Linked DNA regions of Struthio camelus. The protein of the gene in region 1 purifies or fractionates together with the protein of each later gene. This does not show direct contact. Links are inferred from orthologs where the notes say so. Each region holds a gene or a part of one and is shown in the gene's direction. Other genes may lie near its edges.

Region 1 (6,852 bases):
CCCTCAACCGCCGCTGCCCCAAGGTGGGCGGGGCCTGGGGTGGGCGGAGCCTGGGAGCAGGGGGCAGGGCCTGGGAGCCGGAGGGCGGGGCCACCCCATGTGCTTCAGCCCCCAGCGTGCTGCCAATAGCTGGTGGGGTGGGCGGGGCCTCCTGGGGTGGGCGGGGCCTCCTGGGGTGGGCGGGGCCTCCTGGGGTGGGCGGGGCCCGGTGGAGGGGCGGGGCCACACCATGTGCTCAGGCCCTGCCCCGTGTCTTCTCAGTGGCTGCTTTCCCCCCACCCCGAGGTGGGCGGGGCCTCGGCGCCGGGGGCGGGGCCTCCTGCGGGGGGCGGGGCCACACCAGCTGCTTCCACCCCCTCTCCTTCCCCCTCCCTCCCTCCCTCCCAACGCTCCGGGGGGGTGGGCGGGGCCGGGTGGGCGGGGCCCCGGCTGACCCCGCCCCCTGCCCCGGGCACTGACCCCGCCCCCGCGGCAGCACATCTGCCGCTACCTGCAGGCCGAGGCCGACCGGAAGGAGCGGCCGGACTTCCGCGAGGGCTGGCGGGGCGCCTTCAAGATGGTGAGCGCCGTCGGGGGGGGGGGGGACGGAGGGGACGCCTGGGCCCCCGCCGGGGCCGCCCGCACGCCTGGGCCCCCTCTCCCCCCCCCTTCACGGGCTGCTTCTCTCCCCCCCCCCCAGAACGTCGCCCGCCAGAACAACGACAGCGACTGCGGCGCCTTCGTGCTGCAGGTAGGGGCTGGGGGGCGCCGGTGCCCCCCCCCGGACCCCCCCACGGGCCCCCTCACCTCCCATGATCCCCCAGGGCCCCCCCGGACCCCCCCGCGGGCCCCCTCACCTCCCATGATCCCCCAGGGCCCCCCCGGACCCCCCTGGGGCCCCCCTCACCTCCCATGACCCCCCCAGGGCCCCCCCGACCCCCCCGCGGGCCCCCTCACCTCCCATGACCCCCCCAGGGCCCCCCCGACCCCCCCGCGGGCCCCCTCACCTCCCATGACCCCCCCAGGGCCCCCACGGACCCCCCCGCGGGCCCCCCTCACCTCCCCCTGACCCCCCTTGGCCTCCCTTGTGACCCCCCCCACCCCCTAGGAGCCCCCCCCGGGTCCCTCCATGACCCCCCCAACCCCCTAAGAGCCCCCCAGGGCCCCTGCTGGGGCTCCCCCCGACCCCCTTGGTGTCCCCCTGACCCCCGAGGACCCCCTCAACCCCCTGGGGTCCCCCCCGACCCCCCCCGACCTCCCTTGTGACCCCCCCCAATGCCTCTAGGACCCCCCCCCGGGTCCCTCCATGACCCCCCGAACCCCCTAAGAACCCCCCAGAGCCCCTGCTGGGGCCCCCCCCTGACCCCCTTGGTGTCCCCCTGACCCCCGAGGACCCCCTCAACCCCCTGGGGTCTCCCCTGACCCCCCCGGCCTCCCTTGTGACCCCCCCCAGCCCCCCTAGGAGCCCCCCCCCCGGCTCCCTCCATGACCCCCCGAACCCCCTAAGAGCCCCCCAGGGCCCCTGCTGGGGCTCCCCCTGACCCCCGAGGACCCCCTCAACCCCCTGGGGTCCCTTGTGACCCCCCGGGTGTACCTTGTGACCCCCCCAAATGCCTCTAGGACCCCCCCTGGGTCCCTCCATGACCCCCCCAACCCCCTAAGAGCCCCCCGGGGCCCCTGCTGGGGCTCCCCCTGACCCCCTTGGTGTCCCCCTGACCCCCGAGGACCCCCTCAACCACCTGGGGTCCCCCCCGACCCCCCGGCCTCCCTTGTGACCCCCTCCAGCCCCCCTAGGAGCCCCCCCGGGTCCCTCCATGACCCCCCGCCCCGGGCCTCCCCCGAGCCCCCCCAGGGGGCCCCTGCTGGGGCTCCCCCCGACGGCCGAGGACCCCCTGTGCCCCCCTGGGGTCCCCCCCCGAGGACCCCCCCCCGACGCCCCTCTCCCCCCCCCAGTACTGCAAGTTCCTGGCGCTGGGGCTGCCGTTCAGCTTCACGCAGCAGGACATGCCCAAGCTGCGGCGCCAGATGTACAAGGAGCTCTGCCACTGCAAGCTGGCCGTGTGACGCCGCCGCCTGTGCCGCCCCGCCGCCTGTGCCGGCCCGCCGCCTGTGCCAGGCCGCCGCGGGGATGGGGGGCTGTTCTGGGGGGGGGGGGGCGGGTTTTGTACAGCCGCCGGGGCCGCGACTCTTGTCGGGCAATAAAGAACCGGTTTGGAGCCGCCTGGGCCGGGACCGCGACCCCGCCGGGGGGGGGGGGGCACATGGGGCCCAGGCGTCCTGGGACTCCCCCCCCCCCCCCCCACCAACGCCACCGGGGGACCCAGGCGTCCGAGCGCCTCCGCTCCCCCTCCTCGCTCCCCCGTCTGCCCCTCGCCTTCTCAAAGGGGCCCAGGCGTCCGGTCTCTTCCCCCCCCGCCCAAAGGCACCCAGGTGTCTGGGACCTCTGCCCCCCTAAAGGGCCCAGGCGTCCGCCCCCCCCCCCCAAGGGACCCAGGTGTCTGGGACCTCCCCCCCCCCCCCAAAGGCCCCAGGTGTCCAGGACCCCCCAAAAGGGGCCCAGGTGTCTGGTCCCCCCCCCCAAGGGCACCCAGGTGTCTGGGACCTCCCCCCCGCTCCAAGGGACCCAGGTGTCCAGCACCCCCCAAAAGGGGCCCAGGCTTCCGGTCCCCCCCCCCCAAAGGGACCCAGGTGTCTGGGACCCCCCAAAAGGGGCCCAGGTGTCCGGTCCCCCCCCCCAAAGGGACCCAGGTGTCTGGGACCCCCCAAAAGGGGCCCAGGCGTCCGGGATCCTTCTCCCCCCAAAGGCACCCAGGTGTCTGGGACCCCCCAAAAGGGGCCCAGGCGTCCGGGATCCTTCTCCCCCCAAAGGCACCCAGGTGTCTGGGACCCCCCAAAAGGGGCCCAGGCGTCCGGGATCCTTCTCCCCCAAAGGCACCCAGGTGTCTGGGACCTCTGCCCCCCCTCTAAAGGGCCCAGGCGTCCGGCCCCCCCCCAAGGGACCCAGGTGTCTGGGACCTCTGCCCCCCCCCCAAAGGGCTCAGGTGTCCGCCCCCCCCCCCCAAGGGACCCAGGTGTCTGGGACCCCCCAAAAGGGGCCCAGGCGTCCGGGATCCTTCTCCCCCCAAAGGCACCCAGGTGTCTGGGACCCCCCAAAAGGGGCCCAGGCATCTAGTCCCCCCCCCCCAAAGGCACCCAGGTGTCTGGGACCCCCCAAAAGGGGCCCAGGCGTCCGGGATCCTTCTCCCCCCAAAGGCACCCAGGTGTCTGGGACTTCTGCCCCCCCCCAAAGGGCCCAGGTGTCCGGGACCCCCCCCAAGGGACCCAGGTGTCCAGGGACCCCCCAAAAGGGGCCCAGGCGTCCGGGACCCCTTCTCCCTTGAAGGGACCCAGGTGTCCAGGACCCCTCCCCCTCCAAGGGGCCCAGGTGTCTGCGACTCCCCCCCCCCAGAGGGACCCAGGTGTCCGGGTCCCCCCCCCCCAAGGGACCCAGGTGTCCGGGACCCCTCCCCCCCCACCAAGGGACCCCGGTGTCCCGGCGTGGGGGAGGGGCGCTCACACAAAGCTCCTCCCCCTCCCAGCGCTCCGGCATGGCCGCCCACGTGGGGGGGGGCTGGAGGAGGAGAGGCCCCGCCCTTCCGCCTTTAGCCCCGCCCCTTCCTCCCCGTGGCCCCTCCCCCGGCCGGCGGCGCGTTGGCGCCCCGTGAGGGCGGGAGTGGGAGGGGGGCGCGCGCGCATGCGCGCTGGGGGCGCCCCCTCTCCCCAGGGGGGAAGCGGGAGGGGAAGGGAGGAGGCGGGGCCAAGCGGGCGGCAGCGGCGGGCCAATGAGGGCCGAGCCGGTGGGCGGGCGCGGCGGCGGCGGGCCAATGGGCGCGCGGCGGGGGCGGGGCGCGGCGGCGGCTATAAGGCGGGCGCGGGCGGGCGGGGCGCCGACGCTGCCCAGGATGTCTGCGAGTCAGGAGAGCCGGTGAGGGGCGCGGGGGGGGGGGCGATTCCCTCACGGTTCCCGCCGGTCCCGTCCGGGCGCAACCACTAGGGGGGGTTGAGGGGGGGCGATTCCCTCCGGTCCGGGCGGAACCACCGGGGGAGGGGGGCGATTCCCTCACGGTTCCCGCCGGTCCCGTCCGGGCGCAACCACTAGGGGGGGTTGAGGGGGGGCGATTCCCTCCGGTCCGGGCGGAACCACCGGGGGGGGGGGCGATTCCCTCACGGTTCCCGCCGGTCCCGTCCGGGCGCAACCACTAGGGGGGGTTGAGGGGGGGGCGATTCCCTCCGGTCCGGGCGGAACCACCGGGGGGGGGCGATTCCCTCACGGTTCCCGCCAGTCCCGTTCGGGCGGAACCACCGGGTGGGGGGGGGGAGAGGCGCGATTCCCTCATGGTTCCCGCCGGTCCCGTTCGGGCGGAACCACCGGGGGGGGGTGATTCCCTCACGGTTCCCGCCGGTCCCGTTCGGGCGGAACCACCGGGGGGGGGGGGGCGATTCCCTCACGGTTCCCGCCGGTCCCGTCCGGGCGGAACCACTAGGGGGGTTTGAGGGGGGGCGATTCCCTCATGGTTCCCGCCGGTCCCGTCCGGGCGGAACCACTAGGGGGTTTGAGGGGGGGCGATTCCCTCACGGTTCCGGCCGGTCCCGTCCCGGCGGAACCACCGGGCGGCGGGGGGGGGGGGGTCCCTCACGATTGCGAGGGGCTGAGGGCTCTGGGCGGAACCACCAGGCCCGGGAAGGAGGAGGAGGGGGGGGGGTTTCCTCTGTCTCCGTCGGCGCCAGCGGCTGAGCCGCCCCTTGCCGCATGGCGGGGGGCGCCCTCCTCCTCCTCCCCCCGCGATGGTCGCGCCCGCCGCGGCGCCTGGGCGAGCCCATCGCGGCGGAGGGGAGGGGGGAGCGGGTGGGCGCGCCCATGGCGGCCACCCACGCGGGCGGAGTGGGGAGGGGGGTGGGAGCCGCTTCCCACCCCCCCCCCCCACCAACCCGCGGCGCGCCCGCGATGGTGGCGCCGGGCGAGCCCATCGGGGCGCGGGGGGGGGGGGAGAAAGGCGGCCGGGGTTCCCCCCCTCCCTCCAGCGCTCCGCGCGTGGTTCCTCCCGCGGCTCCCCCCGCCCTCCCCGCCGCGGGCGAGCCCACCCCGCCCGCGCGCGCTCTCGCGCCCATTGTCCTGCCGGCCGGGCACGCGGCGCTGACGTCACCCGCGGCGCGGCCCGCCGATTGGCTGCGGGGCTGCGCGGGATGGAGGGGAGGGAAAAGGGGGTGGGACTTCCGGCGGGAGTTAGGCCGCGACCACGTGGAGGAGCCTGCGCGGGGCGGAAGCGGCGGGAGGCGGCGGGGATCGGCTTCCGGGTCAGAGGGCAAGCGGAAGCGGAGCGGGGGGGGTCGGGGGGGAACGGCCGTGACCCCCGCTTCCTCCCGGCAGACCCCGAGACAATGGCCCCGAGGGGATGGACCCCGATGGCGTCATCGAGGTGAGCGGGGGGGGGCGGCGGGGGCCGTTTTGGGGGTCGGGGGGGGGGATCCGGCCGCCGAGGCCTCCCCCTGACCCCCCCCCGCCGCCGCCGCAGAGCAACTGGAACGAGATCGTGGACAGCTTCGACGACATGAACCTCTCGGAGTCGCTGCTGCGCGGCATCTACGCCTACGGCTTCGAGAAGCCCTCGGCCATCCAGCAGCGCGCCATCCTGCCCTGCATCAAGGGTACCCGCCCCCCAAACCCCCCCAAACTGCCCCAAAACCGCCCCCCGGCCCCCCGGCAGCGCCCTCCTGCCCTGCATCAAGGGTACCCGCACCCCAAACCCCCCCAAACTGCCCCAAAACCGCCCCTGGGCCCCCCGGCAGCGCCCTCCTGCCCTGCATCAAGGGTACCCGCACCCCAAACACCCCCAAACTGCCCCAAAACCGCCCCCCGGCAGCGCCCTCCTGCCCTGCATCAAGGGTACCCGCCCCCCAAACCCCCCCAAACTGCCCCAAAACCGCCCCCCGGCCCCCCGGCAGCGCCCTCCTGCCCTGCATCAAGGGTACCCGCACCCCAAACCCCCCCAAACTGCCCCAAAACCGCCCCCCGGCAGCACCCTCCTGCCCTGCATCAAGGGTACCCGCCCCCCAAACCCCCCCAAACTGCCCCAAAACCGCCCCCCGGCCCCCCGGCAGCGCCCTCCTGCCCTGCATCAAGGGTACCCGCCCCCCAAACACCCCCAAACTGCCCCAAAACCGCCCCCCGGCAGCGCCCTCCTGCCCTGCATCAAGGGTACGCGCCCCCCAAACACCCCCAAACTGCCCCAAAACTGCCCCCCGGCCCCCCGGCAGCGCCCTCCTGCCCTGCATGAAGGGTACGTGCACCCCAAACACGCCCAAACTGCCCCAAAACCGCCCCTGGGCCCTCCGGCAGCGCCATCCTGCCCTGCATCAAGGGTACGCGCACCCCAAACCCCCCCAAACTGCCCCAAAACCGCCCCCCGGCCCCCCGGCAGCGCCATCCTGCCCTGCATCAAGGGTACCCGCACCCCAAACCCCCCCAAACTGCCCCAAAACCGCCCCTGGGCCCTCCGGCAGCGCCCTCCTGCCCTGCATCAAGGGTACGCGCACCCCAAACACCCCCAAACTGCCCCAAAACCGCCCCCCGGCAGCGCCCTCCTGCCCTGCATCAAGGGTACCCGCCCCCCAAACCCCCCCAAACTGCCCCAAAACCGCCCCCCGGCCCCCCGGCAGCGCCCTCCTGCCCTGCATCAAGGGTACCCGCACCCCAAACACCCCCAAACTGCCCCAAAACCGCCCCCCGGCAGCACCCTCCTGCCCTGCATCAAGGGTACGCGCCCCCCAAACACCCCCAAACTGCCCCAAAACCGCCCCCCGGCCCCCCGGCAGCGCCCTCCTGCCCTGCATCAA
Region 2 (7,484 bases), on another chromosome or scaffold:
AGCGTAACAGGAGTTTTAATTAATACAGATACGTGCAATCATAAATAACGCTCTTAAAATTAAATGGAATTTTAAGGCTACATTGGCATATTCCTCTTGATGCCATTGCCCCTCTAGAGAGGTAATACCATGAATTTCCAGCTGAAGGGAGTTGATGAAATCTATTGACTTTTCCATCGCTGCTGAGAGTCCATATATTGTAAGAATAAAATATGAATAAAAACATTGAAGTGCTTGATGTTCTGCAGAGAAAAGTGCACTGTTAAACAAATACAGACTTATTTTTAAGCAAGTCGGCTAGTGAAAAGTTTTCTGTGCGCAAGCATACAGATGTCCATGCCAGAGATGTGTTTCTGGCACTTCACTTTGCGTTATCTGCTACCTCAGCTGGCACAGACATGAGGCAGGGAGGGGTTGTGATATTTTTTCCCTTTATATTTTGCAGCTCAGGCCAACCCGGGGTTTAATCTCTCTCAGTTTGGGCTTTGAAAACCCATTTCCCGGAGATGCTGTGGTTAAAAACACACACAGGACAAAGCTCACAACCGCACGGCTGTTCAGTCGTTCTGCTGCCGCTCGTGATGCGCGGCCCTGCGTAGAGCAACCTGAACCAGCCCTACTTCTCTGTCCTAAAAACCCCCACCAAAAACGCACTCTGAGAAAAATTCCAGCAGGATTAGCAGGGTTTATATGCAATTCCCCCCCCCCCCCCCAAAAAAAAAAAAAAACCCACCCATTCTGGCCAGGTCTAAGCTGAAAATAGGAGCTTTGCTTTGGCACTTCAGCTGCAGTCAAAAAAGACAGAGACTAAGTAACCAAATCAGGTTGCCCTTAGAAACGCGTTTGTACTGGGCAAAATAATTGATTGGATTTTTGTCGCATTTGCACTGATCGAGTATGTTGGCTGACAGCTCCCCTGATAACTCACTCCTGACGGCTCACGGGCTGAAGGAAATGCGTCGGGGTGAGGCGAGGTCTGCGGATGATTTACGTGCTAGTGAGCTGTCTCCATTTCTTTTTAATTTAGAGATGCAAAACTGAGCCTGAAAGTAATGAGCTCCAGATAATTAGGTGCTTGTCTGCAGGTGTAGCTATTGCAGCTGCCTACAGCTGGTGCTCTTAATATTGCTGATTTTTATTTTAAAATATTACGGAATGAATGGGAGGCTGGAGATGCAGATAATTTGCTGCAAAGAGTTGGGTTGTTCTGTCCCTCACCTCCCCAGTTTTACTTTAGCGGTCCTGGCTGGCTTGCCTGCGAGGTGTATCGCACATGGGCTGAAGACTGCAAGGAACGGATGATGATAAGTAGCGGAGTATTGTGTTATACGGGGGTGGCGGCGGGAATGCCTCGAAGACTGATGAAAGTCTGATCTCGTTTATCATCATTAATGATTAGCCAGATGGGAAGCGGTATCTCTTGCCTTAGTATTAAAGGGGTTGCGAAAGCCTTGCTAATACAAAAATGCAGTGCAGTATGTTACCCGCAAACGTTAGGAAGGTGAGTGCAGAGCAAAAGGTGGTGCAAAATGGATGCATGCCAGAAGAAAAAAATCAATAGTAGGTATTTCATGAGGTGGGTAGTTTAAACAAGTGCTTTAGGTGGGGGATTTGGAGATGGGTTTGGGCATAAATAGTATATGCGTTTTTAACGGTATGGTGGCTTGCTGCTACAGTGCAGCTTTAGCACGTTTAGTCAGGAAGAAGCGTTGTGTCGTGTGTCAGGCGGTGTGTGCCGTCCTTAAGCGCACGAGTACAATCATACGCGTAAACGTGAATGCGTGCAACTGCGGACGGAGGGGAACGTTCTTCAGGAGGCATCAAAAACCCGTCAGGATTAACTCGTGATGGAAAAGGCGAAGACATCCGAATAGCTTGAGGAGCAGTGGCAGGGCTGGGAGAAGGAAAGGGAAACGGTGCTTTTCGGTAAGCGTTTGAAGGGCGCGTTTTGCTTTCAAGCTGTAGTTTTCAGAGGAGCCTTGGAAAGGCCGGCTTCCGCCTGAGGTGCGCTGGGATGTGTATGCCCCTTTTCTTTTGAAAACTCTTTAACTGGGGCTTTGTTCCCATTCAGTTCAGCGTAAGCATAGATGGGTGACCTGATGTGGCAGGCGGGAGGCAAAGGAAGCGTTTGGGAATCATATAAAAGCTAGTTCCAAGATTAATGATACGTTATTGGGTAAAAAGCTGAATTTCAAAGATGAATCTCAAGAAAAGTTTTAGGATGGGGAGCTTCATTTAAAGTGGGGATAAGTAATGAAATTGCTTGCCGTTGGGAGACGATGCTTTAAGGAAGAGTACCTCAAAGGTAGAGGGATGGACAAGCCTTGTTTCCGGTGAGCGTCAGCTAGTGCAAACGGGGAGCAAGGAAAGGGAGTCCGGCAGCCGGTAACGTCAAACGAGGCAACTGCGGTGTCTAATGGAGCCAGTGAGCTCGTGTGAAACGCGAGCGGTATTTATGTAAGTACGTGTCTGTTACAAAAACAAAAGGTGCACTTTTAAAAAGTATTTCTTGCCAGTATAAAATAATGAACAATTTGGAGCATTCTGTATTACCGTTTAATGCGCAGAGTAAGACTAGGGATTAAAAAAGTGGCTCGCACAACACTTTGTTGATCCGCTTCATGTTCTTACCTTTGGCAAATGGCAACTCGGTCGCGAACGGTGACTCCACGTGTTGCGGTGAGAATCTTTCTGTTAGGCCAGAAAATGTTGAAACGAGCTTAATAATGGCGTTTGCCTGAAGCTCAGTTTGTGTATAAGTAATTCTAGGAGCCAGTGACTCCTGAGGTGTGGTTTGCATCTATCCACAAGAATAGGGGTAAAACGATGTACTCGTCTGTTACGTAGCTTGGTGATTTCAGGCAGTATCCCCACGATACATCCCGTGGGTGCCACTTGAAAAACATTTGTTACTGTGTGTTTACGTTTTTTGAAAGCATTTGACTAACTAGAAATAGGTTCTTGATGTCAGAGTTAAGTATTAGCATACAGATGACGTGGTTTTCTAAGGAATTCACCACCTATGGCTCCTGCTAACTTTGGCAGTGTTTCTTCTGGGTGTTCATTCAAGGAAAAGCTGCCTTCATTTTTATTTCTTTTTTCCCCCTCTGATAAATAAATAAATAAACGAACAAATGCAAACCACTGAAACAACAGCCCTCCGTTACATGCTGACCTATGATACGGCCAGCGCTCTGAATCGTAGTTTATTTTGACATCCGGTCGCTGCGGAAGAGTTAAGTTGCAGCCGTCGAAGAAAACTAAAATAAAACTACCGTTTTACTGCAGAAGGCCGACTCGTTCTTTTGAGGTTCGACTGACGTGCCGTACAGACGGTAAGCGCCTAGTTAATCCTCACGAGGATGAGCAGAGCCCCACCGATGTATTTCACCTCTCCAGAGCATGGTCGCTTGAATTTGTCTCCATCCTTACGTGTTATTTGGCCGACGCTGGGAGCGTGTGGCAGGGTTTGGCACGGCCTGAAGCAACGCTCTGGCTTCGTTCTGCTTCGGTGGTCGAGCCGTGTGGCTCCAAAATGTTTTAAATGAGAGTGGCTCCTGAAAAGAGTGAGACTGTGTTGTTGATTTTTTTTTTTTTTGGCTTAAATTTTGTTGTAAAAGGTGTTACGTGGCCGGGCAGAGTGCATCGGTGGCCCGTGTTGGGACTGGGATGTGCCGTTGGAGCAGGCAGTGGAAAGGCTCGAAGGAGGCTTGAGCAGCAGCCTTGGCTGTTGGTTCCTCCCGACCCTTTAGACGTTGCCCAAAGTAGCTGAATCACGGTCGGGTTTGATTTCCCTGAGTTAATGGTCTCGCGTCTCTCTTAGTAAGAACTGCTTAGCTCTGTAAGTCTGTGCGGTGCTGGATTTCTGTAAGAGCTGGTAGAAGAAGCGAGGGAGGCAGGGGTCCCAGGGGAAAGACAGCGTGCCCTTGCGAAACTAAGGGCTCGGTCCTGCACATACACACGAGGCAACTGAGTTAAGGTTGCATGAGCCGCTTTAATCCTGGCGTTTCCTAAGTCTGGGGCTGTTTGCTTTGTGACTCGAATTGTCCTCGGATGAAGCTTGCGGGCTCGTAGTGACTATTTCGTCACGGGGAGAGCCGATGGTGCTGTTTTGATCTGGTCGTTTCCCAATGCCCAGCATGTGACATGTCACTTGGTAGGTTGGTTGGTTGGTTGGTTGGTTTGTTTTCAAGGCGGCAGTTTGTCTTACCCGGTTTCCTTGCCTCGGATCCTGAGAAGCAGCCCGTCAGGCGGGGAATTTATTCCGCGGGGAGAATTGATTCGTGAAGCACTCGCTAAAGAAATGGGCTTGCGGCGGCGGCGCCTGGTAGCGCGTTGGGGGACAGCGAGCCGTCCCTCTGGACCGGGAGGCCGCCAGAAGCAAACGGCAGAGTGCGTTGCTTGAGGGAGTTTGTGCCGTGATTTAATTCCCCTCCCGACAGGCAGCGCTGAAGTTTTCCATGCCCTTCCTGTAATGCGGCGTGCTCGCCAAGCGCAATGTGCTCTAGGTGAGTTTGTTTTATTCTTTGTTTCTTAAGGCCGCGGCTTGGTTTGATTTTACCCCAAGTAAGGCTAGCTCCCTCTCGGCGCCGCTAAAGCGAGGCAGCGAACGCAGGAAAGCGGAGCGGTCGCCGTTCTGCCCCGCGATACGAGTGACGTGCAAAGGCTTTCTCCGAAAACTTGCCTCTGCCTTTCTCTCCCCTGCCACCCGGCTGCGCCCGCCAGTCTTAGCTTAACGGCGCTGCCTCCTTTGCGACCGCTGTCGGAGAGCGCGTCCCCTGCGACCGAAGCGGGGCGGGAGCGCTGAGCGCGGCCAGCCGAGCGCGGGGGCTGCAGGTAGCGCCCGGGCCGCCCGTGCGCTACCGCTTTAAGACCGCCGGCGCGAGAGCTCGGCTCCGCCGGCGAGATTCAGGCGCTCAGAAGGAGCAGCTGCATGGCACGACCGCGGCCGTAGGCTCCGCTTTCCGGGGGGAGAAATCCCTCATTCGGGACGCCGTTTGCGGAGGCTGGAGCTTGCTGCCAGGTAGGATCGAGCTGCAAAGGACGGGCTGAGGCCGAGGAAGTTTCTGCGAGCCGCCGCGTACGGCGCAGCCTTCCTTGTAACCCTTTAAGTTAGCCGTGCAGTCTCCAAACCTGCTTCAAGGCGCTTCTGCTGTTAGCATCGCCATCTCCTGTGTTGCAGCTGAATTTAAGACGGAGAGGAGGCTGCAGGAGAGATGCACGCTCTTTTAACTGCTCTGGCTGCTGCCCAAATGCCTCCCTGCGTAGAGGGGTTTGCACGGTTCCTTGCACCAGAAAGCTGGCGGGAGCGATGAGCGTTGCAATTTGCAGGTTCCTGCCCCTCTGTAATCTTGCATGATGGTTTTATCTTGCATTTTTCAGACATTTAATACATAATTTCTGTACAAGCGGGAACATGCACAGGGATTATATAACCCTAGGGAGAGCTGGTGAAAGACTTGCTACGTTTCCGGGCAAGGATAAAAATCGTTAGTTGTGGAATGCTTTTGTATACAGGTTTGCATATGTGCCCTTTGGTCCTCACGGGTATTTTTATTCGCATGGAAAGATGCTTGCTTGTTACAGTAAGCTGCAAGTGAAGAAAGGGGCCATCAATGCATGCGAAGGATAAAATGGTTGCTGCTGAGCTTAGGTGAGAAGCACCGTTCTGGGGAAAATGAATCCATTTTGGACGAAAATACAACAGCGTTGTTTCTGCTTGGTCTTGGAAACAGTAGCACAACAGGGAAACCTGTACAAATTCTTGCCGTGAGAGCCTGTTTTAGATCTTGGTACGTGCTTTTCGGTTCTCCGTGGCCTAAATCTAAAAGTGCACAAAATCTTGCAGTGTTTCAGTTCTGTAGCATTGTTAGAGCAAAAAGACAGGCGTTGCACAAGAGGGAAATTCCTGCAAGAAATTCCTCCTGACTTTTATTTAAGTCCTCTGTATTTCTCAGTGCCTCTGAATACTCCAGCTGCCAGGCAGTTCTGGTTTGGATTTTTTTTTTGATTGCCTTAAAGAGAAGTCTCATCTTCTCACAGTCCTCAGAGTGTGGTTATGACTGTCTAATTAAAATATAGCATCCTTCTTTCATGGCAGCTTTTGGGTTTTAGAAAAATTTGATTTTGCTTGCAAATGTTACTCTCTCTGCCTTCCTTCTCCCGCTGGGTCTTTAATAGTTCCCCACATTCCCCAGCTTGCAGTCACTGTTGCAGCCAGATGGGGACTAGGTGGAACTCCCCTTGCATCTGAGCTTGCTTTTATTAATCTGCCAGCAGTATCTGAGTTGTGTGGGTTTTTTATATATCTGTTTCATGAGTTAATGAGCCCTAAGCAGCAACGAACAGAATCCAGAGTTAGTATTAACTGCTGGCTGTCGTCCTTCTGACTCTGCTTCTGAGTTTTGGCTGGACACTGATGGAGGATGGAAAGCTGTAGAGAGTCATTAAGCCTAAGAAGCAGAGACTGTAGTTTCCACTTTACTAACCCGTCAGCTGCAGAGCTGATTGAAGAGGCTCCCTTTCGCATCCACTTGTTCCTGCTCTTCTGCTTCATTGCCCACCCCATCTTTTCTCCCTGCATTGCTGGAAGGAGCTGGGAAAATGGCTTGAGGTTTGGGTTTAGTTTTGTTTTTCAACCCCCCTCTCCCAGGTTTTTGCGTTGTTTGTTTTTTTTTTTTTTTTTGGCATGGATCATTTCCGAGATCTGCACAAGTGCAGCTGAAGAGGATGGCAGTGGATGAGAAGGTTTTTGGGAGGAGGAGAAGGTGGGAAAGTACAGGATCCTCCTGAATTGGATCTAGCCGTACTGGAACAGCGATGTGAAAGAGGTGCCTGAATTATTCAGCATATCCCTGTTTCCTTTGCACTGTAGCTAAACTCTGCCATGGAGCCAGCCTGGTTTTACGTTTTAACTCTTAAACTTCCCTGTGTCTGATGCGGGGAAGCAGGGGGGCAGCGTTTGCACAGTTTGCCTCATGTGTCGGGTTGTGGACCTCTTCATCGCCCCTTTCATGAGAGCAGTGCCTCCAGAAGATGATCTGCTCTGAGGGGGCACTGTCTTCTAGATGTGGCTGAGTGACCTCAAAACGGATGTCCTTGTCAAACGTAAGGGGGAGTGAGGGTGGTCACTCCTACCCACGGGGAAGGGCCAAGCTGCCGGAGGCAGTAATCTTGTCCACTGGCCCAGCTCTTTGCAGAGCGCGTGTTTGTAGACACCAGAAGTTAGAAGTTGGAGATCACCTCTTTCTCCAGCCATCCTATCTCATTAAGAGTTACTGGAATTTAAAGCATTTTTGTCCCTGTCGGTGTCACGTCCAGGTCAAGTCTTCTAGCAAAAAGGACTTGCAGGGTTTCTTTCTAATCTGATGAGAGTTATCGCTTTCCAGAAGCGATCTTAAACGGCAACCCCAAACTCTGAAAATTCATCTAAACTGCTCGTTCCTCGAGGCAGCCCTCTTCCTGGGTGGAAAAAGAGGGGTTGC
Region 3 (7,184 bases), on another chromosome or scaffold:
ACAGCATAAGGAGAAGGGAAGGAACAAATACTTAATTTCTGTGGTATCACTGGGAAAATGTGTCCCAGTTCTTTTATTGTGAAATTGTTTTCAGTATTTATTTCTTTGAAACAGTAGTATAAAAGTTGAGGACCTTGAATATATTTTTGTTGTGTTTTTCTTTAAACAGGTAGGGTGGCTGATAAAACATTACTTCATTGAACGCTCTCCCTTTATTAAATAAATACCAAATTCTAACACTAAAATGAATTCCATAGCACAAAAAAAATACTGCAGAAAATTTGCTGTTCCAATACATTTTGGTTATAACCAGTGGCCATTCAGTGATCTACAAACAAATGTAGTGGAAAGCAGCTTTATTCATGTACCAGCATTCTTCCAGTATCAGTCTCACAAGATCACTGCCCCTATGGGATTTATTGTTTCATGCATTTTTGTCTCTGTTGTCTGGATTTCAGAGTAACAGGAAGTCCACCTTCCCGTAAAAAACAGTTTGTGTTTGGAAAAGCCGCTCTGTAAATCAAATCAAGTCCAATTAACCAACTTATTACTAGAAGTCAAATAATATCTGCATAGGTTAACATGACAGGCCTAAACAGGGAGATTATAGAGGAGTATAGTGAATAAGTACTGACCTGTTCCATAATTAACGAACCAACCCAATATTTGGTCTACTTTACTGATAGTGAAATTCTAAGGAAGATCAAGGAGGTCAGCAAGGGCGGGAAATACAAAAGTAACAGTAGTCTTCATTGCTTGTATGTAGCCTGTACAAGTGTTACATCTAGATGTATCACAGAGACTGGCCTTTTAGACATAAATAGTGCCTCTTTCATGGAACAACTAGTTAGAAAGTCCATGAGAAGACAGCCTTTGACTTCATCCTGAGTAGTAGTTGGGATCTGGTTTAAAAACTCATATATTTGGAGAGCCAGTCTCTGAGCAATGACCATAACATACTTTGATGCATTACAGGATCACCAACAGCCAAAAAATTCACCAAATTTTGACTCAAAGAGTGGAACTGTATAAAAATAAGGCAGTTTGTTAAAAAGGGACAAAAAGGTGCAGCTAAATAATTAAATCCTTACAGGCAGCATGGAAGCTATTTTAAGATACACCTATTAGAAACATAAGGTCTATACACACACTTGGATTATTAAGGAGGGCCCGAGAAGGGTGAAGTAATATTCAAATGAAACAAAGTAGAAACATAAATCCCTGCAGATTGAATATAAGAAAACAATAAGATTGTCCCCCCAAAAAAGAATCAAAACTAATAATAGATTTTTCTTTGATTCTCTCAGCAACAGGAAGCCTTCCAGAAGTCTGTTGGAGCAATTGATAACCGTAGTATTAACAGGAGTACTCAAAGAACACAAGGCCCTTGAAGAGAAGTTTAATAAATCATTTGAGTCAGTTTTCACTGTGGAAGAAACTGCAATCACCAGTGGATATCCTGCAAATTGAAGGGATTTTGGAAGAGAGAATGGAAGAAACTTGATAAAATGAACAGTAAGAAATCTTGAGGACCAGATAGTATTCACCCACAGTATTCAAGGAGGAAACTGAAATTGCTAGCAGGTGTGCATAACCACAGTTTTAAAGCTGCACCGATACCTGGTGTCTACAGGATACCAAATGTAATATCAACTTCTAGGAGGAGTCCCATGGAAGATAGGGGGCCTGACAGGCCAGGAAGCTTGCTCTCTCCTCTGCAGGTCAGTAGAAACTATGATAGGGAACAGAATCAGTAGACACCTAGATAAATATGATCTACTTGGAAGAGTCAACATGACTTTTATAGAGGGAAATTCTGCCTTACAAACTTACTAAATTCCCTGAAGAGTCAACGTGCATGTGGAAAAGAGTGAGATGGTTGATACAGTCTAGTTGGATTTCCAAGGGGTAACTCATATTCTTGGAGCAGATAAAGGAATGCATGCTTTTCCACTCCGCCAGCCACAGAACCCTATATAAAGTGTCTGGTACATTTTTTTCCCGGTCACCCATTGCTTCCCTAAACTGCTGTTTCTCTCGCCTCTTTCAAACATCCTCCATAAATACCGGAGGTAAATAAATTTCCATTAAGCCTTAGTACCGAAAAAGTGCATCTCAGTCACTCTGTCTCCTCCCTTAACTTCTTCTCAGGACTGTAATTTTTGATTTCCCTTCTGTTGTGAGATGAGCAATACCATCCTGGCTGGAAAAAGTGATTTCAAGGGACAGAGCTCTAAAAGGTTGATTTCTAGGGTGAACCACCATGCTTAACCATCCTTCTGTCCCTGTAGTTGTACCTCCATTTCTAGGTCACCCAGGAAAGGGGATGCTGCATGAATGCGCAACTCACTGTCAAAGCCTGAAAACACCCTACCTGCTACCTAGCTCTTTAGCAGATGAAAAGGAATGGATACTTGCAGATCTTACACCAGACTGTGTGTGACAGGAACATTTCAAAAGGAGAATGAAGTAAGTGCCTTTCTCTGGACAAATTGCCTCCGTGCTCAAAAGGAATTCGGCCGTTTCCCATGGGATAAACGTAGAGCTCAGTTGTATCACCATCCCTCTCATGCTGCTGTATCTCTCCTGTTCATCTGATGAGGTGTCACCTTGGCACATGAATAGCAGTCTAAAATATGAGCTCCACCGGTACTATCTGGGGATCTTATTTCTTAAAATAGTTCCATTTAATTTTTAGATCTGTCTTGTAAGATAGGAATGCTGTGGCCATTTAGGTATCTTTTAAAGCCTCCTGATTTCCTGCAGAACTAAAAAATCTGATCTGTGGTAGGTCTCATTTGGTGCTTGATGTCCTACACCCTGCTATTTCCACAGAGCAAAGCACTAGTTTCCTTCTCCCATGGCTGGATTAAATTTCTCAGCACTCGTAATTTATTTAATCAAGGGTCAAGGGGTGGGGGAAACGGAGCTGCTGCAACTCCTCTAATTATGGTCAGAAATATAATTCTAACTGGCAGTAGAATGGGACTGAGTCGGCTAAAACAGTGGAGGCAAGGTGCCTGGTGTTAAGACTTCTTGGTTTTAAAATGACAACCTTTCCAGCTGTGTCCTTTTTTCCTCTGACAGGACCCCACCACTCAAAATTCTGAGCAAATAGGAACAGACGAGATTGCAAAAATGCAATGCCCATCGGAGTAACGTGTTTGCGTCAATCTGAGAATCATGACTGATGTTGTCAAAATTGGACTTGGTTTTTCACATCGGCCAGCATGTGACCACCTGGCTTGAACAACAGACGTTTTGTTCCTTTTATGAATGAGAGGCACTCTATCAGCAAAACATGAATGGGCCCAGTTATATTCAATAAACTGAGTTTTTCTTAGCTTTTGTTTCCCTTTGAGGAGAAGAAATTTGATGCCATTGCAGTGAGTAGAAACTGATTCAAAAACTGACCTTGGGGAAGCAAAACACGAAGACTGTTGCATTTTGGATGCTGTAAAAATAGGATTTGAGGAACTCTTGATTAAATTCAATCAAATAATCAGTCTGGACCTCACAGTAAGAGCCCACAGTTTTCCTGTGTTGCGGGTATGATTTAATTGCATTGTTTATGGCACAATGAGAGACAACTTAATGGTGCACTTGAAATTTGCAGGGTTGTGGCCTTCCTCTTTTGCCATACAAAGCAAGTACAGAAGATGCCACTGGTAACTGGATTGCAGATCCTACTTAGTTGCCTATCTAAAGTAGAAAAATACAATCGCATCCCATTCTTCAATGTACTTGAAATGCTTTTGAGAATTTGTATGTTGTATCCTCAGGCCATCAGACACATATTGCAAGGTGCCCTTCAGAAATCCAGTAAAAATCCGTAGTTACTGCAGGAGAAAAACCTTGCCCCGAAACCCTTTGAAGTACACGTTGTGAATAACAGAAACCCAGCTAATCTCTGATTCCGGAAAAGCATTCAATGTTGCATTGCTGGTAGATTATTTCTGTAGGCGGGTGGAAGTTTTTATTTGCGATGCGGACACCTTTGCCAGCACCCCCCTCCCCCGCCCGGGTGAGGGGCAGGCCGAGCTGGCCCGGTAGAGCAGCGCTGTCCCACGCTACCTGCCGACCGCTGCCAAACGCTCGGCGCCGAGCCGGGGCGAGGCCACCGTTATTTTACAGACAGGGCTCGCGCGCCGCGGCCAACGGCCGCCCCCCGCGCCGCCCCGCAGCATCACGGGACGGCGCCGCGCGGCGCATTGTGCGCGCGGGCGGCGCCCCGCGCAGCGCCCCGGCGCGGCCGCTAGGGGTCAGCGCCCGCCTCTTCCTCCCCCATGTGACTGCGGCTCGCCGGCCAGAGGGAGGGCGAGCGGCTCCCGGCCTCCTCCGCGCTCGGCGCCTACAGCTCCCAGCAGGCGCCGCGTCCCGCGCGCCGCCCTCCCGGCGGCCCGAACGCCGGAGCCTCCCCTCCCCCGTCCCAAACGGCCGCCTGGCTCACGTGACCGCGGGCCAGCCAACCGGGTTTGAACCTGTTTTTTTTTTAATCCGCCCCTTCCCCTCCCCGCAGCGCTGGTGCGATCAGATCGATCTAAGATGGCGACTGTGGAACCGGTGAGTGTTTCATTCCCTTCTCCCGCCCGCCTTTCTCTCTCCTTCCTCCGCCTCCCCTTGCCCGCGCTGCGGCTCCCGCGGCCCCGGCGGGCGCGGCAGCGGGGAAGGGGGAGAGGGCGGGGGCGGGGGGGCGGCGCCGGGGCGATGGCGATGGCGATGGGGCCGGCGAGGAGCGCACGCACGGGGACGGGGCGGGGGGGAGGGGGAGAGGGAGACGAGGCGCGGCGCCGGCCTGCGCGGCGGGGAGGGAGGGAGGGAGGGAGGGATAGGCCGAGGCCCTGCGCGCGCGCGCCGCCCGCACCGTTGCGTCTGTGCCGTCACCGGCGCGTGGAAGAAACGAACCGACCGTTGGGGTGGGGTTGGGGGGTGAGGGGGGCAGGGCGGGCGGGCGCGCGGCCTGCGGGTAGCGGTGCTGGCTGCCGCCGTGGCGCCCATTGTGTCGCGGCGGGGGCGGCCCCGCGGCTCCCCGCCGGCTGTGACCTTGCCGCCCTCCCGAGGCGGGGGGGAGGGGGGGGGCGGAAGGTGAGGAGAGGAGGAGCAGCCAGCCCGGGCGGGCGGCGGCAGCAGCAGCGGCGGCGAACGGCCCCCGCGGAGCCTGGCGGGCGGCCCTCGGCCGCGCTCCGCTCATGTGGCGGGGTGGGGGTGGCCATGTTGCTTTCTGCCGCAAGGAGCCGGCGAGTTAGGACTTTTCCTGTCACTTCAGCGATCGCCCGTCCCTCGCCAGGATGCGTGCGTGCACCCTCACGGCCATGTAGGAGTAGCAAAGGTTCAGTTCCAAGGCTGCCGTAGTATTTCAAAGCTAGTGGTGAAAGATGCCTTGTGCTTAGGCGATACGCAGTCGCTAACCTGGGGTGGGGTGAGTGTCTCAAACTGAGTAGTTATGCTGCTCTAGATTTAGGCAACCGAAAAAGCGATGTTGCTGCTCAGATTCAAGATGTGATGCAAACACTATTCCCTTTTATCATCTGATGTCACCTTTCTGGTCTAAGATCGTATTTTTGTTGGAACTTTCTGTAGGCTAATTTCTGTAAAGTGTTTAATTATTAAACATTTTCTTCCCTCTCTGTGTGTGAAGTTGTGTTCATAAAACTACACAGTGTTTCATAATTACTGTCCCAACCTGCACTTCCCCTAAAGAATTGAAGCAGAGCTGGACACGGTCTGGTAACTGTCAATCTAATTGTACACATTCGTGTATCATGGGGAACAGAGTGTGGAAGACCTTGTGCTAGTGTTTGGAGAAAATGAGAGATTTAAGGATGGGTGACTTGTTCCTGCTTCTCACCTACAGTGCCTAAATAGCCAGTGCATGCTTTGGAGAGGCCTTTAGATAGAAATACTTAACTACAAGAATCAGTTTGCTGTTTTTAAATACAGACATCTTAGTTTGCCAGGGAGACAGTCTTAAGGGATGCTGGTCATACAGTTTTCTTTCCTGAACAACAAAAAAAAAACCTTTACTTACAAGAAAGACCAACGTTGGTCATCAGTTATGAATTCCTTGACTAGTGGTTCTGAAGTAGAAGAAAATCGATTGTTAGCGAGCTGGAGCACCAGCAGCAGCCTTCCCATGTTCTTCAGCCACAGTCTCAAACACTTATTTTTACTTCTGATAACTGATCTTTCCAAGCCTAAGCCCATGCTTTTGAAGGAGAGAGCTTCATGTCTCGTGTGTTTTGTGACTGTCATGGGGCTTGGCAGGTGTTGTGATAAGTTATTTGTAATATTGATAGCCACTAGAAATTGAAACAATACTAAAGGCATGTTTCTGTGGCTCTCTTGGCTGCAGTGCTGGCATACGCCTGTCCCCACACTGTTCTCTCCATTGTTTTTGCATGTTTGTGTGGTCGTATGTTGGGCTAGATCTGGGGCCTAATTTAGACAAAAATAAGCAGTTTATTTTGCTACACCATTTTCCAGTAGGATTAGTTCCCAAATCAGGTTTAACCTGGAGTGACGTATTTGTGCTGACCCAGTAAAAGTAGAAGACAAGGCAATGCTTAAGACAGTTTAACTGACCTGTTGTTGACAGTTCTGCCATAGATCAAACATGAAGGAAATATAAGCTATGCTTGGTTATTTTCAAATGTATTTAAATAATACCCTTTTTATGCTTTTACTCTTAGGTGGCTCACACTTCTAAGCTTAAATTTGAGCTTGCATAGTGGCTAAAATCATAGATGGCCGCTGTTGCAAAAATAGTGCATGATTTGGAGTTGAGTAGTTTAGTTGAATGTGTGGTTAGGAGTTTGATTACTTCGTGAACATATGGAAGCCTTTCTATTGCTGACCTTCAAAATCTGGACCTAGGTTTGAAGAAATGTGTCATACTTTAGTAAACATCTTACAGTAAGACTTACTTTGCAGTAAGTATTTTATGTAACTGAAAAGTAACCAGCTTCACTGGTTTTCATACTTAAAGGGAGAAATAAGCTAGGGAATGAAAGAACAGGGAAATGTGAGATAGCCCTCTTTGCCCTCAATGGTAAGTAGTAACTTTTGGTGTTGCTTCCCTAGTATGCAAATGTATCTTAGGCAACGCAGAAGGTTATGAATGTCTCTTTAAGCGGGATACTACTGAAATCAATGATTCTTCTAATACTTTCTTGTTTTAAATGTTG

Evidence for each region.
Region 2: the proteins of EIF4A1 (region 1) and EIF4G3 purify together in Homo sapiens (co-immunoprecipitation; 6 studies listed by BioGRID and IntAct, counting the BioPlex papers as one, with this or other methods). This does not show direct contact. The link is inferred for Struthio camelus from reciprocal best matches to the Homo sapiens genes EIF4A1 and EIF4G3.
Region 3: the proteins of EIF4A1 (region 1) and EIF4E purify together in Homo sapiens (affinity purification with mass spectrometry; 8 studies listed by BioGRID and IntAct, counting the BioPlex papers as one, with this or other methods). This does not show direct contact. The link is inferred for Struthio camelus from reciprocal best matches to the Homo sapiens genes EIF4A1 and EIF4E.

What each region holds. Positions count from the first base shown.
Region 1 is NW_027182614.1:2,066-8,917, forward strand, and holds the start of EIF4A1 (eukaryotic initiation factor 4A-I), read left to right. Parts: upstream 1-3,845; 5' UTR 3,846-3,920; coding exon 3,921-3,943; intron 3,944-5,386; coding exon 5,387-5,435; intron 5,436-5,531; coding exon 5,532-5,664; intron 5,665-6,852. Other genes in the region: SENP3 (sentrin-specific protease 3), read left to right, coding at 476-559, 680-730, 1,933-2,043. UniProt on the Homo sapiens protein: ATP-dependent RNA helicase which is a subunit of the eIF4F complex involved in cap recognition and is required for mRNA binding to ribosome.
Region 2 is NC_090962.1:8,963,347-8,970,830, forward strand, and holds the start of EIF4G3 (eukaryotic translation initiation factor 4 gamma 3), read left to right. Parts: upstream 1-4,482; 5' UTR 4,483-4,497; coding exon 4,498-4,508; intron 4,509-4,821; exon of another isoform or gene 4,822-5,023; intron 5,024-5,083; exon of another isoform or gene 5,084-5,099; intron 5,100-7,484. UniProt on the Homo sapiens protein: Component of the protein complex eIF4F, which is involved in the recognition of the mRNA cap, ATP-dependent unwinding of 5'-terminal secondary structure and recruitment of mRNA to the ribosome. Functional homolog of EIF4G1.
Region 3 is NC_090945.1:28,151,184-28,158,367, forward strand, and holds the start of EIF4E (eukaryotic translation initiation factor 4E), read left to right. Parts: upstream 1-4,182; 5' UTR 4,183-4,545; coding exon 4,546-4,563; intron 4,564-7,184. UniProt on the Homo sapiens protein: Acts in the cytoplasm to initiate and regulate protein synthesis and is required in the nucleus for export of a subset of mRNAs from the nucleus to the cytoplasm which promotes processes such as RNA capping, processing and splicing.